Linked DNA regions of Macaca mulatta. The protein of the gene in region 1 interacts with the protein of each later gene in a biochemical or structural test. Links are inferred from orthologs where the notes say so. Each region holds a gene or a part of one and is shown in the gene's direction. Other genes may lie near its edges.

What was found. The genes of interacting proteins can lie anywhere in the genome.
Region 2: the proteins of NXF1 (region 1) and NUP62 form a complex in vitro, tested with the Homo sapiens proteins (3 studies listed by BioGRID and IntAct). The link is inferred for Macaca mulatta from reciprocal best matches to the Homo sapiens genes NXF1 and NUP62.
Region 3: the proteins of NXF1 (region 1) and NUP98 form a complex in vitro, tested with the Homo sapiens proteins (5 studies listed by BioGRID and IntAct). The link is inferred for Macaca mulatta from reciprocal best matches to the Homo sapiens genes NXF1 and NUP98.

What each region holds. Positions count from the first base shown.
Region 1 is NC_133419.1:11,261,642-11,264,701, forward strand, and holds part of NXF1 (nuclear RNA export factor 1), read left to right. Parts: intron 1-516; coding exon 517-624; intron 625-739; coding exon 740-798; intron 799-908; coding exon 909-1,024; exon of another isoform or gene 1,025-1,038; intron 1,039-1,147; coding exon 1,148-1,190; intron 1,191-2,029; exon of another isoform or gene 2,030-2,063; coding exon 2,064-2,136; intron 2,137-2,632; coding exon 2,633-2,815; exon of another isoform or gene 2,816-2,861; intron 2,862-3,060.
Region 2 is NC_133424.1:62,390,401-62,394,756, reverse strand, and holds the start of NUP62 (nuclear pore glycoprotein p62), read left to right. Parts: upstream 1-1,471; 5' UTR 1,472-1,548; exon of another isoform or gene 1,549-1,670; intron 1,671-3,009; exon of another isoform or gene 3,010-3,121; intron 3,122-3,866; exon of another isoform or gene 3,867-4,011; intron 4,012-4,356. Other genes in the region: ATF5 (cyclic AMP-dependent transcription factor ATF-5), read right to left, coding at 1-5. UniProt on the Homo sapiens protein: Essential component of the nuclear pore complex. The N-terminal is probably involved in nucleocytoplasmic transport.
Region 3 is NC_133419.1:72,004,730-72,009,091, forward strand, and holds the start of NUP98 (nuclear pore complex protein Nup98-Nup96), read left to right. Parts: upstream 1-1,477; 5' UTR 1,478-1,633; exon of another isoform or gene 1,634-1,683; intron 1,684-4,362. UniProt on the Homo sapiens protein: Plays a role in the nuclear pore complex (NPC) assembly and/or maintenance. NUP98 and NUP96 are involved in the bidirectional transport across the NPC. May anchor NUP153 and TPR to the NPC.

The sequences.
Region 1 (3,060 bases):
ACTACAGGCGCCCGCCACCTCGCCCTGCTAGTTTTTTTGTATTTTTAGTAGAGACGGGGTTTCACCATGTTAGCCAGGATGGTCTCGATTTCCTGACCTTGTGATCCGCCCGTCTTGGCCTCCCAAAGTGCTGGGATTACAGGCTTGAGCCACCGCGCCCGGCCAATTTTTGTATTTTTCATAGAGACGGGGTTTCACTGTGTTGGCCAGGCTAGTCTCCAACTCCTGACCTCATGATCCGCCTGCCTTATCCTCCCAAAGTGTTGGGATTAGAGTCATGAGCCACCGCGCCCAGCCATTTTGTTTGTATTTTTAGTAGAGACAGGGTTTTGCCATGTTGCTCAGGCTGGTCTTGAACTCCTGGGCAAAAGCTGTTCATCTGCCTCAGCCTCCCAAAGTGCTGGGATTACAGACATGAGCCTCCATGCCCGGCCACAACTCACTCTTGGGAGCTACTGGGTCCTTTTATGGCTCTAGACCACATAGTTCATACTTTCTCTTTTGATTTTCCCATAGGTACTATGCAATTTATGACTCTGGAGACCGGCAAGGGCTCCTGGATGCCTACCATGATGGGGCCTGCTGTTCCCTGAGCATTCCTTTCATTCCTCAGAACCCTGCCCGGTGAGTATCACATCCCAGAATCTCCCCGGGACCACTGGGTTTCCCAGCAGATACAAGGGAGCACCTGCTGGCAGCACTGCTCTGAACACCACGTCCAATCCTCTTATTCCCCCAGAAGCAGCTTGGCCGAGTATTTCAAGGATAGCAGAAATGTGAAGAAGCTTAAAGACCCTAGTAAGTGTGTGATATGAACAAAATACGATGGGAAAAGGGCATGGGAAGGAATCAGTCATAGAACTCAGGAGTATGTGGCAGCACCGCTGAGCTTTCTCCTCCACCCACAGCCTTGCGGTTCCGGCTGCTGAAGCACACGCGTCTCAACGTTGTTGCCTTCCTCAACGAGTTGCCCAAAACCCAGCATGACGTCAATTCCTTCGTGGTAGACATAAGCGCCCAGACAGTAAGCTCCTGTTGGTGCCCTGACAGAAGCCTAAAATTGGGGTGGGGGTGGCATTTAATAGACAAGGGGGGGCACTCAGGCTCTGAGAAGTGTACATTGTACCCGATGCTGCTTCTCTTTCAGAGTACACTGCTGTGTTTTTCTGTCAATGGAGTCTTCAAGGAAGGTAAGAATCTCTGGAGTCCTGAGTTTGTAGCATGGTCCCACCCCCAGCTGGAATTTTCCTCAGCACTCTTAGCCTCCCAGCTACTTTCTCTCCCATTTTCTTTTTGAGCTCCTTCTCCCATTCTGAACCCAAGCCGTCTTGGCTTGGCCTGCCTCTCCACCTGTCCTTTCTGGCTATGGGAAAAGCCTGGGGATTAGGAGGACTTTGGAGTCAGGCAGTTCTTAGTTTCCATCCCAGTTTTGGTTGTGTGGGGCTGCGGACAAGTAACATTACCTCTAAGACAGATTCTTTATTTGTAAGTTGGGGTTAAGTAATAGCCATCTCATAGTGGTGCTATAGGAAGTAACTGAAGTGACTTACAAAGTGCTTGGCCTGGGGCCTGGCACACAGATGCTATCAGTGGATTAGTAGTAATTACTTTTTTTTGAGACGCACGCACGCACTCTGTCACCAGGCTGGAGCGCAGTGGCGCAGTCTTGGCTCACTGCGACCTCCGCCTCCTGGGTTCAACTGGTTCTCCTGCCTCAGCCTCCCAAGTAGCTGGGCCTATAGGCGCGCACCACCACGCCCAGCTAATTTTTGTATTTTTAGTACAGACGGGGTTTCGCCATGTTGGACGGGATCCACCTGCCTTGGTCTCCCAAAGTGCTGGGATTATAACCATGAGACACCACGCCCGGCCGTAGTTATTACTATTGTCCTTTCTGACCTGACCTTTCACCCCACCTCTGCTTCCCTTATACCCTTATATACTTAATCATCCCTCTCTGACCCGCTAGGATTCTTTGTATCAAAGAAGACCATGATTCAAGAAGCTGTTTGTAAACATAAAGCACTAGTGACCCTAAGGTGTCGTTGCTGTTCTCATTGCAGTGGACGGAAAGTCCCGGGATTCTTTGCGAGCCTTCACCCGGACGTTCATTGCTGTTCCTGCTAGCAATTCAGGGTAAGTATTCTGCTTTTCACATTGGATACCAGTCCTAATCATGGCCAACAGTGTGGTAATTGGAAGGTAGAGTCAGTCTTTGGGGTGATTTCAGAAAGGCAACAGGAAATCAGGGAAAGCTCACATAGTAGTTAAGAGCAAGTTAGTTAATAGCTTGGCTCTGGAATTGTGCCGTCTGGGTTTTCATCCTGGCTCCACCACTTCCAGCAAGTAGGCTGCTGCCTCATCTGAAAATTCATTTAACAATATTCACTGCCTAAGTTTGTCGTGAGGATGAATAAAAGAGCTAAGAACTGTCCATGGGTTGGGAGAACTCTAGTGTGTTTGGTAGATAATCCTTCCAAACATTGATTCCATGGGAGGGGATAAATGATAAAAGGTAACAATAGCTAAGGGGGGAGGGAGGGACCTTGTGGATATTGAAAGAATCAGAGAATAGGAATGATGGGAGGATGACGTTATCTGTCTAGCTTTTTAAGTGCTCTTTGTCCTCAAGGCTATGCATTGTAAACGACGAGCTATTTGTGCGGAATGCCAGTTCTGAAGAGATCCAAAGAGCCTTCGCTATGCCTGCGCCCACGCCTTCCTCCAGCCCAGTGCCCACCCTCTCTCCAGAGCAGCAGGAAATGTTGCAGGCATTCTCTACCCAGTCTGGCATGAACCTCGAGTGGTCCCAGAAGTGAGTACTGGGCATGTGTAGGACGGGGTGAACTGAAGGAGGGCTAGTAGTAAATAATGAGAGCTCCTGATGGTTTTTTTGTGTGTGTTTTTAGTTTTTTTTTATAGAGACAAGTTCTTGCTCTGTCATCCAGGCTTGAGTGTAGTGGTGATCATAACTCACTGTAGCCTCTAACTGCTGAGCACAAGCTATCCTCCCACCTCAGCCTCCAGAGTAGCTGGGCCTATAGGCATGTGCCACCTTTT
Region 2 (4,356 bases), on another chromosome or scaffold:
GACATGGCTGTAGCACAGGTGCAGGGCGCTGTAGCACAGGTGCAGGGCACTGATGGCAACAGGAGCGGCTGCACCAGCAGCTGGGACGAGGCTCTGGAGGATGCTCAGCTGGATGAAGACAGGCACCAAGGCGAAAGTGGAAGACCTACACGTGTGAGACAAGAGTGGGTGGGGTCGTGGGGTCAGGAAAGCCTCATCCACCGGCCAAAATCATGGGGAAGCCAAGCCACACCCCCAGGCACGTCCACGGGGCTCCTCCCTCCCCCTTCCAACCACAGTTTATAACTAAGCCTCAGCCTCTCCGAATTCTAAATTTGCCCTTTCTTTACCCAAATCTGAGCCCCACCCACTCCCAAGGGAATTTCTTTAGGTCCTAAGGTAGGACCGATGCCCCACCCTTTCCCCCAATACAGAAACCTAAGGGTCTCCCAGGGGAATTACCTTAGGCCCCTCCCATCCACCTCAGAATATTCCGCTTCATGGAAAAACTCAATTCCAGGGACATTTTCTTCCAGCCACGCCCCTTGCCCTAAAATATTTCCTTTTGGCCCCACTGCCTTCCTAGCTTCCATCCCAAACCAGTGCCCAGGGGAACTGCCCCAGGCCCCAGCCCTTCAGCAATGTTATCCACTCAAATCCCACTCCTCGCTTTGCCACTGTCCCTCCAAGCCCCGCCCCTCATTGTTTATTTAGCTCCGCCCCTCTCCGATTCCCCAGAGGCCCCGCCTCTTTGTCCCATCGAAGCCCCACCCCTCAGCTAAAGGTTGGCTTAGCCCCGCCCCTTCTCACAATGGGCTCACGAAATCCCACCCATCGTGACGACAGTGGTTCTAGCCCCACCCACTTAGAGGGCTGCCTCTAAGCCCCGCCTTCTCCCCTGTCAATCTAAGCCAGTCCCCGCCTCAGCAGGTGCCTGGTTTAAAAGGAAGGAAGTTGGGCTGTGAGCCAGAGCAACGTGGAGCAGGGAGGGTGGAGGAGGGTAGAGGGGGCAGGCAGAGAACTGCTACCCGAACGCCAGCCGTCCACACGCGGCTATGCGCCAAGGGCCAAAGCGCATGCTACGTCTTCCGAGCTGTCCAATTGCTTTACACCTCCGCCTTCTTGGGGATCAGTGCGCATGCGCGGACACTCAGGGCCCGCGCTCATTCATTACGGGGCACTGGTAGGCTACTGCGCAGGAACAACCAAGCACGCACAGAATCGTTTAGAAAAAGACCACACCCTCCCTTGGAGTGCGCAGGCGCAGCCACACGCCGGCTGACAAACATCGAGTCTCTAGAACTCTCCCACCCGGCTCCGGGCCCAGTGCGCATGCGCAGCCGCGCGCCTTCGGCCCACCGTACCTCTTCTGCGCCTGCGCGACCGTGATTCCCCGCTCGCAGCTCCCCTCCCCCCAGGGCTCCCTAAAGAGGGCCACGAGCTGCGAAAGGGCGGGAAAGGCGGTTGGAGAGGGACAAGTAAGCGGTTACTCACTCCATGGCTGCAGAAAGGAGAGGCGGCGGCGGCCTCGGCTGAAGAAAGAAGGTGGGAGCGGAGAGCGCAGGCGTGGTAAGCGCGGAGTCGGGCTGGGGGCACAAAGGGGTCGAGGCTACAGAGCCATGGCTGGGGCTACGCAGGCGGAGGCGGAGAACGCTGTAGTTAGAAGAGACCGTGATCTGAGGACGGGGAATGAGGCGGCCCCGGGGACTGGGGACAGAAATACTTCGGGTGGCGCAGCATGGCCCGCCCGGATCCTTCCGCGCCCCGCCCTCGCGGGGCCCCAACTGGGTGGCAGCCCGGTCCCCTCCTCCTGGGGATCAGGGGATCCGACCTCTTCCTTCCCACTCCTAGGGTCCAGGCCCCTCCTCCCTTTTGAGCCAGGGATCCGGCCCTCTCGTAGCTCCGGGGTCTGGTTTCCTCCTAAACTCTGGTTTCTTTCTTTTTCTGCCTGTGAGGTCTGGGCCTGCTTCCTCCTGTGATTTTGTGGATCCAGTCTCATTCTCTTCCCGGAGACCTGCACCATTTAATTTCTGTTTCCCTTTCCCTGCTTGCAGAATTTCCTGCCAGCCACACTTTTCATGTTTTCATCCCCCAACTGCTGACCCCGAGAAACCCTCGTGGGTTAGAGTCCAGCGTGAGTCACAGCACTCTCCCAAACACAGACCTACCAGGATGGCCTCGGGCAAATAGCTTAAGTTCTCTTGCTTCATTTCCCTATCCGTAAAATAAGAAAAATCAGCTCTCCTGGTGGGTTTATGAAACTCAAGACGGTGTCTGGCAAGCCTTATGCACAGAGTTCAACTCATACGTTCCTGTTCAATTTTTTTTTTTTTTTTTTTTTTGGTGAGATGACGTCTCTCGGTCTCTGTCGCCCAGGCTGGAGTGCAGTGGCGCGATCTCGGCTCACTGCAAACTCCGCCGAGTTCACGCCATTCTCCTGCCTCAGCCTCCAGAGTAGCTAGGATTACAGGCGCCCGCCACCACGCCCGGCTAATTTTTTGTATTTTTAGTAGAGACGAGGTTTCACCTTGTTAGCCAGGATGGTCTCGATCTCCTGACTTCATGATCGGCCCGCCTCGGCCTCCCAAAGTGCTGGGCTTACAGGCGTGAGCCACCGCGCCCGGCCTCAACATATTTTATTGGGGCCCAGCCTCACTTCTTCTTTCCCCCTTACAAGAGCCGCAGACGTTGGACTGTCTAACTCTTGCTGTCGTTCTTCTGTCTCCCTCATTCCTCTGAAGTGTCTGTTTCCGGCCATCCTCATCTTCCGTTCCAAATGATGGGTGCCCAGGCCCCATCCCCTGGCAGGGATTCAGACATCGAGGCCCCAGCTGCGTCCTTTTCTCCATCCCTTGCCCTTGGCTTCCTTTCAAACAGTCCTTAGCTTCCACGGGATAGGAACTATCTCCCAACCCTGCCAAAAATGGAAGATCTCCGTTTCCCTTTAGTCAGAGGGTAGCCATCTTGCCCCTTCTCATGCACAGGGCCCTCCACCAGCCGAGGTGGATGTCAGTCTTTTCTCTCTTGCAGAAACCCACTTTGTCCCATCCACGTCAGGACATCCCAGCTGGAGTTCAGCCTTCATCCCTTCTGTGGCAGTTAGGAGACTGAATCAAGGTCCAGAGAAGGTGGAGGAATCCTGGTATTGAGCGTTTTACACAAGCTTCTTTCTCCTCCCTTACTTGTCGCGGGCAGGAAGCCCTTCTTGGGATCTGACCACCTTCCCTTAGAGCACTTATTGTCCACTTTGCCAGCTTTTGAGCACCTGCCCTATATTTCCTTGAGCTTGTAGGGGTTGTGTTATCACTGAGACAGTATACAGAGTAGCAGCTAAGAGCATAAACTGAGCTTGTCCCATCCGTGGGCCTGCATGTGGCCCAGAATAGCTTTGAATGCAGCCTAATACAAATTCGTAAACTTTCCTAAACCATACGAATTTTTTGCGAGTGTTTTTTTTTTTTCCTTTTGAGCTCATCAACTATCATTAGTGTTATTTTATGTGTGGCCTAAGACAATTCTTGCGATGTAGCCCCAGGAAGCCAAATTTTATACATCCTTGGCATAGACTCTGGAGCCAGATTTATGAGTTCAAAACCTGACTGCACCCCTCTTATTAGCTGTGTGACCGTAGCCATTTCCCTTCCCGGTGCCTCGGTTTCCCCTGTGGTACAAGGTGGTGTTAAGAGTACCTGCCTCTGGGCCAGGCACGGTGGCTTACGCCTGTAATCCCACCACCCTGGGAGGCTGAAGTGGGCAGATTGCTTGAGCTCAGGAATTCGAGACCAGCCTGGGCAACATGGTGAAACCCCGTCTCTACAGAAAATACAAAAAAATAGCTGGGTGTGGTGGTTTGTGCCTGTGGTCCCAGCTACTTGTGAGGCTAAGGCAGGAGGATCACTTGAACCCTGGGGTGGGGCAGAGGTTGCAGTAAGCGGAGATTGTGCCACCACACTCCAGCCTGGGTGACAGAGTGAGACCCTGTCTCAAAAAAAAAAAAAAAACAAAAAAAACAAAACTGCCTGCCTCATAGGGCTGATTAAATGAGTTAATCCGCGTCGAGCAGTTAGACTAGTGCCTGGGACACAGTAGGTGCTGCATAAAAGTGGTTACTGTTACTGCTATAATTAAGGTGGATGTGTTCTCATTCCATTGCTGTGCAGTAAGTCCAACTTCCTTCCACTTCTCAGTATAGGTTTTTGAGCAAAAGCAGATGGAATTAAGGGTAGACTGTTGGACAGACTGCCAGTGGTAAGGACGCAGAGACGTGCCCTACCCCAGCCCCCCACCGGCAGAATCTTCTCCTAAGAAGACCTTCTAGCTTGTACTTGGGAACTGGGTTTGGTTTGGTTTGGTTTTGAGACAGAGTCCTGCTCTGTC
Region 3 (4,362 bases), about 61 Mb from region 1:
TGTATCACTGAGAAGATGGGAACATTTGAAATACCTGTCCTTTAAGAATAAGTAGGGGTTCGGCTGGGAGCAGTGGCTCACGCCTGTAAGGCCAGCACTGTGGGAGGCCGAGGCGGGCGGATCACTTGAGTTCTGGAGTCCGAGACCAGCCTGGCCAACCTGGCCAAACCCATCTCTACTAAAAATGCAAAGATTAGCCGCGCGCCACGGGGAGTGCCTGTTATCCCAGCTACTCGGGAGGGTAAGGCAGGAGAATCTCTTGTACCTGGGAGGCGGAGATTGCAGTGAGCCGAGATAGCGCCACTGCACTCCAGCCTGGAAGACAGAGGGGGCAGGGCAAGACTCCATCTTAAAAAAAAAAAAAAAAGTAGGAGTTCACGGGGGAGGTGGCTCACGCCTGTAATCCCAGCACTTTGGGAGGCCGAGGCGGGTGGATCACTTGAGGTCAGGAGTTCGAGACCAGCCTGACCAAAACGGTGAAACCCCCGTCTCTACTAGAAATACAAAAATTAGCTCGGCCTGGTGGCGGGCGCCTGTTATCCCAGCTACTTGGGAGGCTAAGGCAGGAGAACCGCTTGAACCCGGGAGGCGGAGGTTGCAGTGAGCCAAGATTGCGCCAACGGACTCCAGCCTAGGCGACAACGCGAGACTCCATCTTAAAATTAAAAAAAAAAAAAAAAAAGGTAAGGGTTCTCCAAGTGCAACCGGGAAAGACGTTCCAACAAACCTCATTTGTACCAGGCCTTTTGGTGGGCCAGGCCCTTAGGGCATCTCTAATGCTCCTAATGTCTATCCTAGAAATTCAAGGAGGGAAAGAATGCGCTGGGGCAAGCATGGGTCAGGAGAGAATAGGGTCAGCATCTAGGGCCCTGAAGCAGCCTCGGGCAAACTCTTTGGACAGACAGACCTCCCAAGAGGGCCCTCAGGCTCCGCACGTGGTCTGGGCAGGAAGTGCGGGCAGACAGACTAGGAAGCCTTCCCAGCAGCGCCCGCGGATCGGGGCAAGGAAGGGGTCGAATAGTTACCATACCATTCTGGGGCCGTCCCTCTGATTGGCCCGAGCTCCCTCAGCCCAAGTCGCTGCACTCCAAGAAGGGGGCGGAGTCTCTGTGTTGCGTCACCACTCTTCCCGACACCCCGCCGGTGCTTCCCAATCTAGCCATTCACAAGCCCACATCGAGAGGCCCTGTGTGACGTCACGACACGCTCCCGCCAACCGCGGCGGCGAGGGGCGGGACTCCACGGCCCTCTCACCGCCCCACCCCTGTGCCTCCCCGAACTCCTTGTGCCCCTCCTCTTCCCTCTCGCCCCTTCCCCCCCCCGAAGACCGCCCCCACGTTCGGATTCAAAAGACGCGTTGCCCAATGAATAACAGGGTCGACCCAGAGTGGCGGCAGCAACCACCAATGTGCGGACGGCGAGGGCGGAGCGCCCGCAACGAGCCTCTGACGCCCGGCGGCGTGTGACGCAGTCGGGCCTTCTGCGCGCTGCGCCCGAAGCGGCGGTCGGTAGTAGTGGTGGTAGCGGCGGCGGCGACGGTTTCGTGGGGGGCCGCGCGCTGCTCTGTGAGCGGCGGGTGGCAGACGGGCCTGGGCCGGGACTCCTGACACTTCGCCTTCCCCACCGAACCGCGGTAAGTCGGGAGCCCGAGCTGCAGCGGCCGAGACCGGCAGGCTTCTACTCTCTTCCGGGCGGGCGGACGCGCGGGGCGTCCCAGGGCCTCTCCGCGCCGAAGTCTCGCGCAGCGGCGCGCACCTTCTGGCCTGAGAGAGGGGCGGGGCCCAGGACCCGGAGCCCGGGAGGTCCGGCTTTGGAGGCCCTGGGAGAAAATGAACATCAGTGGGGTCTAGGCTTGGAGGTCTCCGGTTGCTGCCCACGAGAGTCTGGTTGTACTCATTCATTCGGTGGTGTAAGGACCCCACGGTGGGCTGGCCTTTCCGGAGTCAGCGCCTTGAGACCCTGAATACTGTCTGCCCGCACTTCCTTGACCGTCGTGTGGGACTGGGCTTTATTTTGCCTTGGCTTCTCCATAAGGAAAATGGGCACCCCGAGGATTAGGGTGAGTCTGAAGTTTGTGAGATTTTTAAGATAATATCTGAGAATAGGAGTCGGTTCGGTGGAGCAAAAGGTTCTTTTATTTTCCCACGTGTTCAGTGTAAAGCCAGATGAGAAAGATTGAGTTTCTGGATTACTGTAGCCATAAGGACTTTAGAAATTGAGTCAATCCCCCTACCTTACCTCAGTTTTGTAGATAGGGGAAATCGAGGCCCGGAGTAACAGGTAGGATTAGTCAATGCCGGATCTTTGACAGTCTAAAAATTTTTCTACTACCTCACCCTCCCTGAATGTTTCAGTCTCCCATTATTAAGAATTCCCTATGGGAGGTCGGTGCGGCATGGACGTTAGGTAGTTAGACGTAGATGTAGTCTTCATAGCGTTTTCCATTTAGTTGCTACCAGCTGTGTTCACGGGTAAGGTGGAAGCTTTGTTAGTGGTACCCTAACCTGGACCTCGAGAACTAAACTTAGAAGATGGTTAAAGAATGTCATCGTTGTTATGTATTGGAAACAAATCGATAAAACTACAAGCCATTATTTCCCTTTCTAAATCTGAATTTTTTGACTTGTGTCAGCTGATGAGGATTCGGAGTCAGTTAGGGATTTATAACTACTGGAGTAGAAAGCAGGAAATTTTCATTGACAAGACTTAGAAAGCCAGGCAGGAGTCCGTTTGTAGTAGTTGTACCTTGGAACTCATGGCTCCTTTCAGGTACAGAATTCAAAGTGAAGTATTATAGTAGAATAAGGTGAGGAAATAAAACTCCGTTTTGGAGGAAGAAGCTAACTGGAATAAAGAAAGAAAAGAGCCGTGATCATTCCCTGTGACGGTCTTATAAATTCAAGAAGAAACAAAATTCAAGAAGAAACTCGAGTTAACTGGGTTACAGTATGTTTACCTGGTGAAGGAAGTTAGGGTATTTAAAAACCAAAACTAGAGGTTGGACAGGATAAAGGTACTGGGAAATACTTGGGTAAAATTATTATTTTTGACTCTTCAGATTTGATGAAATTGAATTAGTTGACACTTGGTTCTGTTCGTATCAGTAAGATTGTTACTTTGCTCTTGTTTAGATGACAAAGCATAAACTCAAAACTAGTAGTGCAGAAGAGAACCGTAGTCTAAATAGTAAAGTGTGAACAGGGTATGTTTTCCATGACATTTTCTCAGTTCAAGCATCACCCTTTACTGGGAAGCTGTTCTTGGCATTCTCTCCTCTGCAAGCTTCCATAACACTTATTTGATACTTGTATTTATAGAACATATTTTTATTTTAGCTGTTTTTTTATTAGGCTGGTAAATATTTTCATCTTATCTTTGTTGTCCAGTTGCTTGCCATGTAGTAGGCCCTCAGTAAGTGTGTTTACTTGAATGAATAGACAAATATGGAGGAGTTTTACCTAGCAGTAGTCAATAGAGAGAGGCTCCTGAAATATGGGGCCCAGATAAGATGGTTTTTGCTGTTTATGTGTTATAGGATACTTTGGTACCTGACATTTATTTGTTTGTTTATTTAATGAGATAGGGTCTCACTCTGTCACCCAGGCTGGAGTGCAGTGGTGCAGTCTCGGTTCACAGCAGCCTCAACCTCCTGGGCTCAAGCAGTCCTCCCACCTCAGCCTCCCAAGTAGCTGGGACCTCAGGTGTGCACCACCATACCCAGCTAATTTTTTTTGTATTTTTTTGGTTGAGACGGGGTTTTGCTATGTTGCCCAGGCTGGTATTGAATCCTGGGCTCAAGCCGCCCCCCACCTCAGCCTCCCAAAGTGCTGAGATTACAGGCATGAGCCACTGCGTCTAGCTGGTACCTGACTTTGTTTATGTCTACTAGGTTCTAGATAGAGCAAGCAGAATTTTTAAGGAACGAAATGTACAGCTTTGAAAAAATTAGTTATTATTTTCTTGTAATATGATTTATGTGGTGGTAGTTAACCTGGAAAGTAAAGAATGATGGTACAAATGTTTAATTTCCAATAATGAGACTATATGCAGTTATGCAATTTGTTGAAAGGTTAGGGGAATAAGAAATTCAGAGATTTGACGATAAGTATTGGCCGAGCATGGTGACTCACTCCTGTAATCCCAGCACCTTGAAGGTCGAGGCAGGTGGATTGCTTGAGCCCAGAAGTTGAAGACTAGCCTGGGCAACATGGGGAAACCCTGTCTCTGAAAAATACAAAAATTATCCAGGTGTGGTGGCTTGCACCTGTACTCGAACTACTCGGTAGGCTGAAATCAGAGAATCGCCAAGCCCGGGAGATTGAGTTGGAACTGCAGTGCTGTGATTGCAGTTCCAACCTGGGA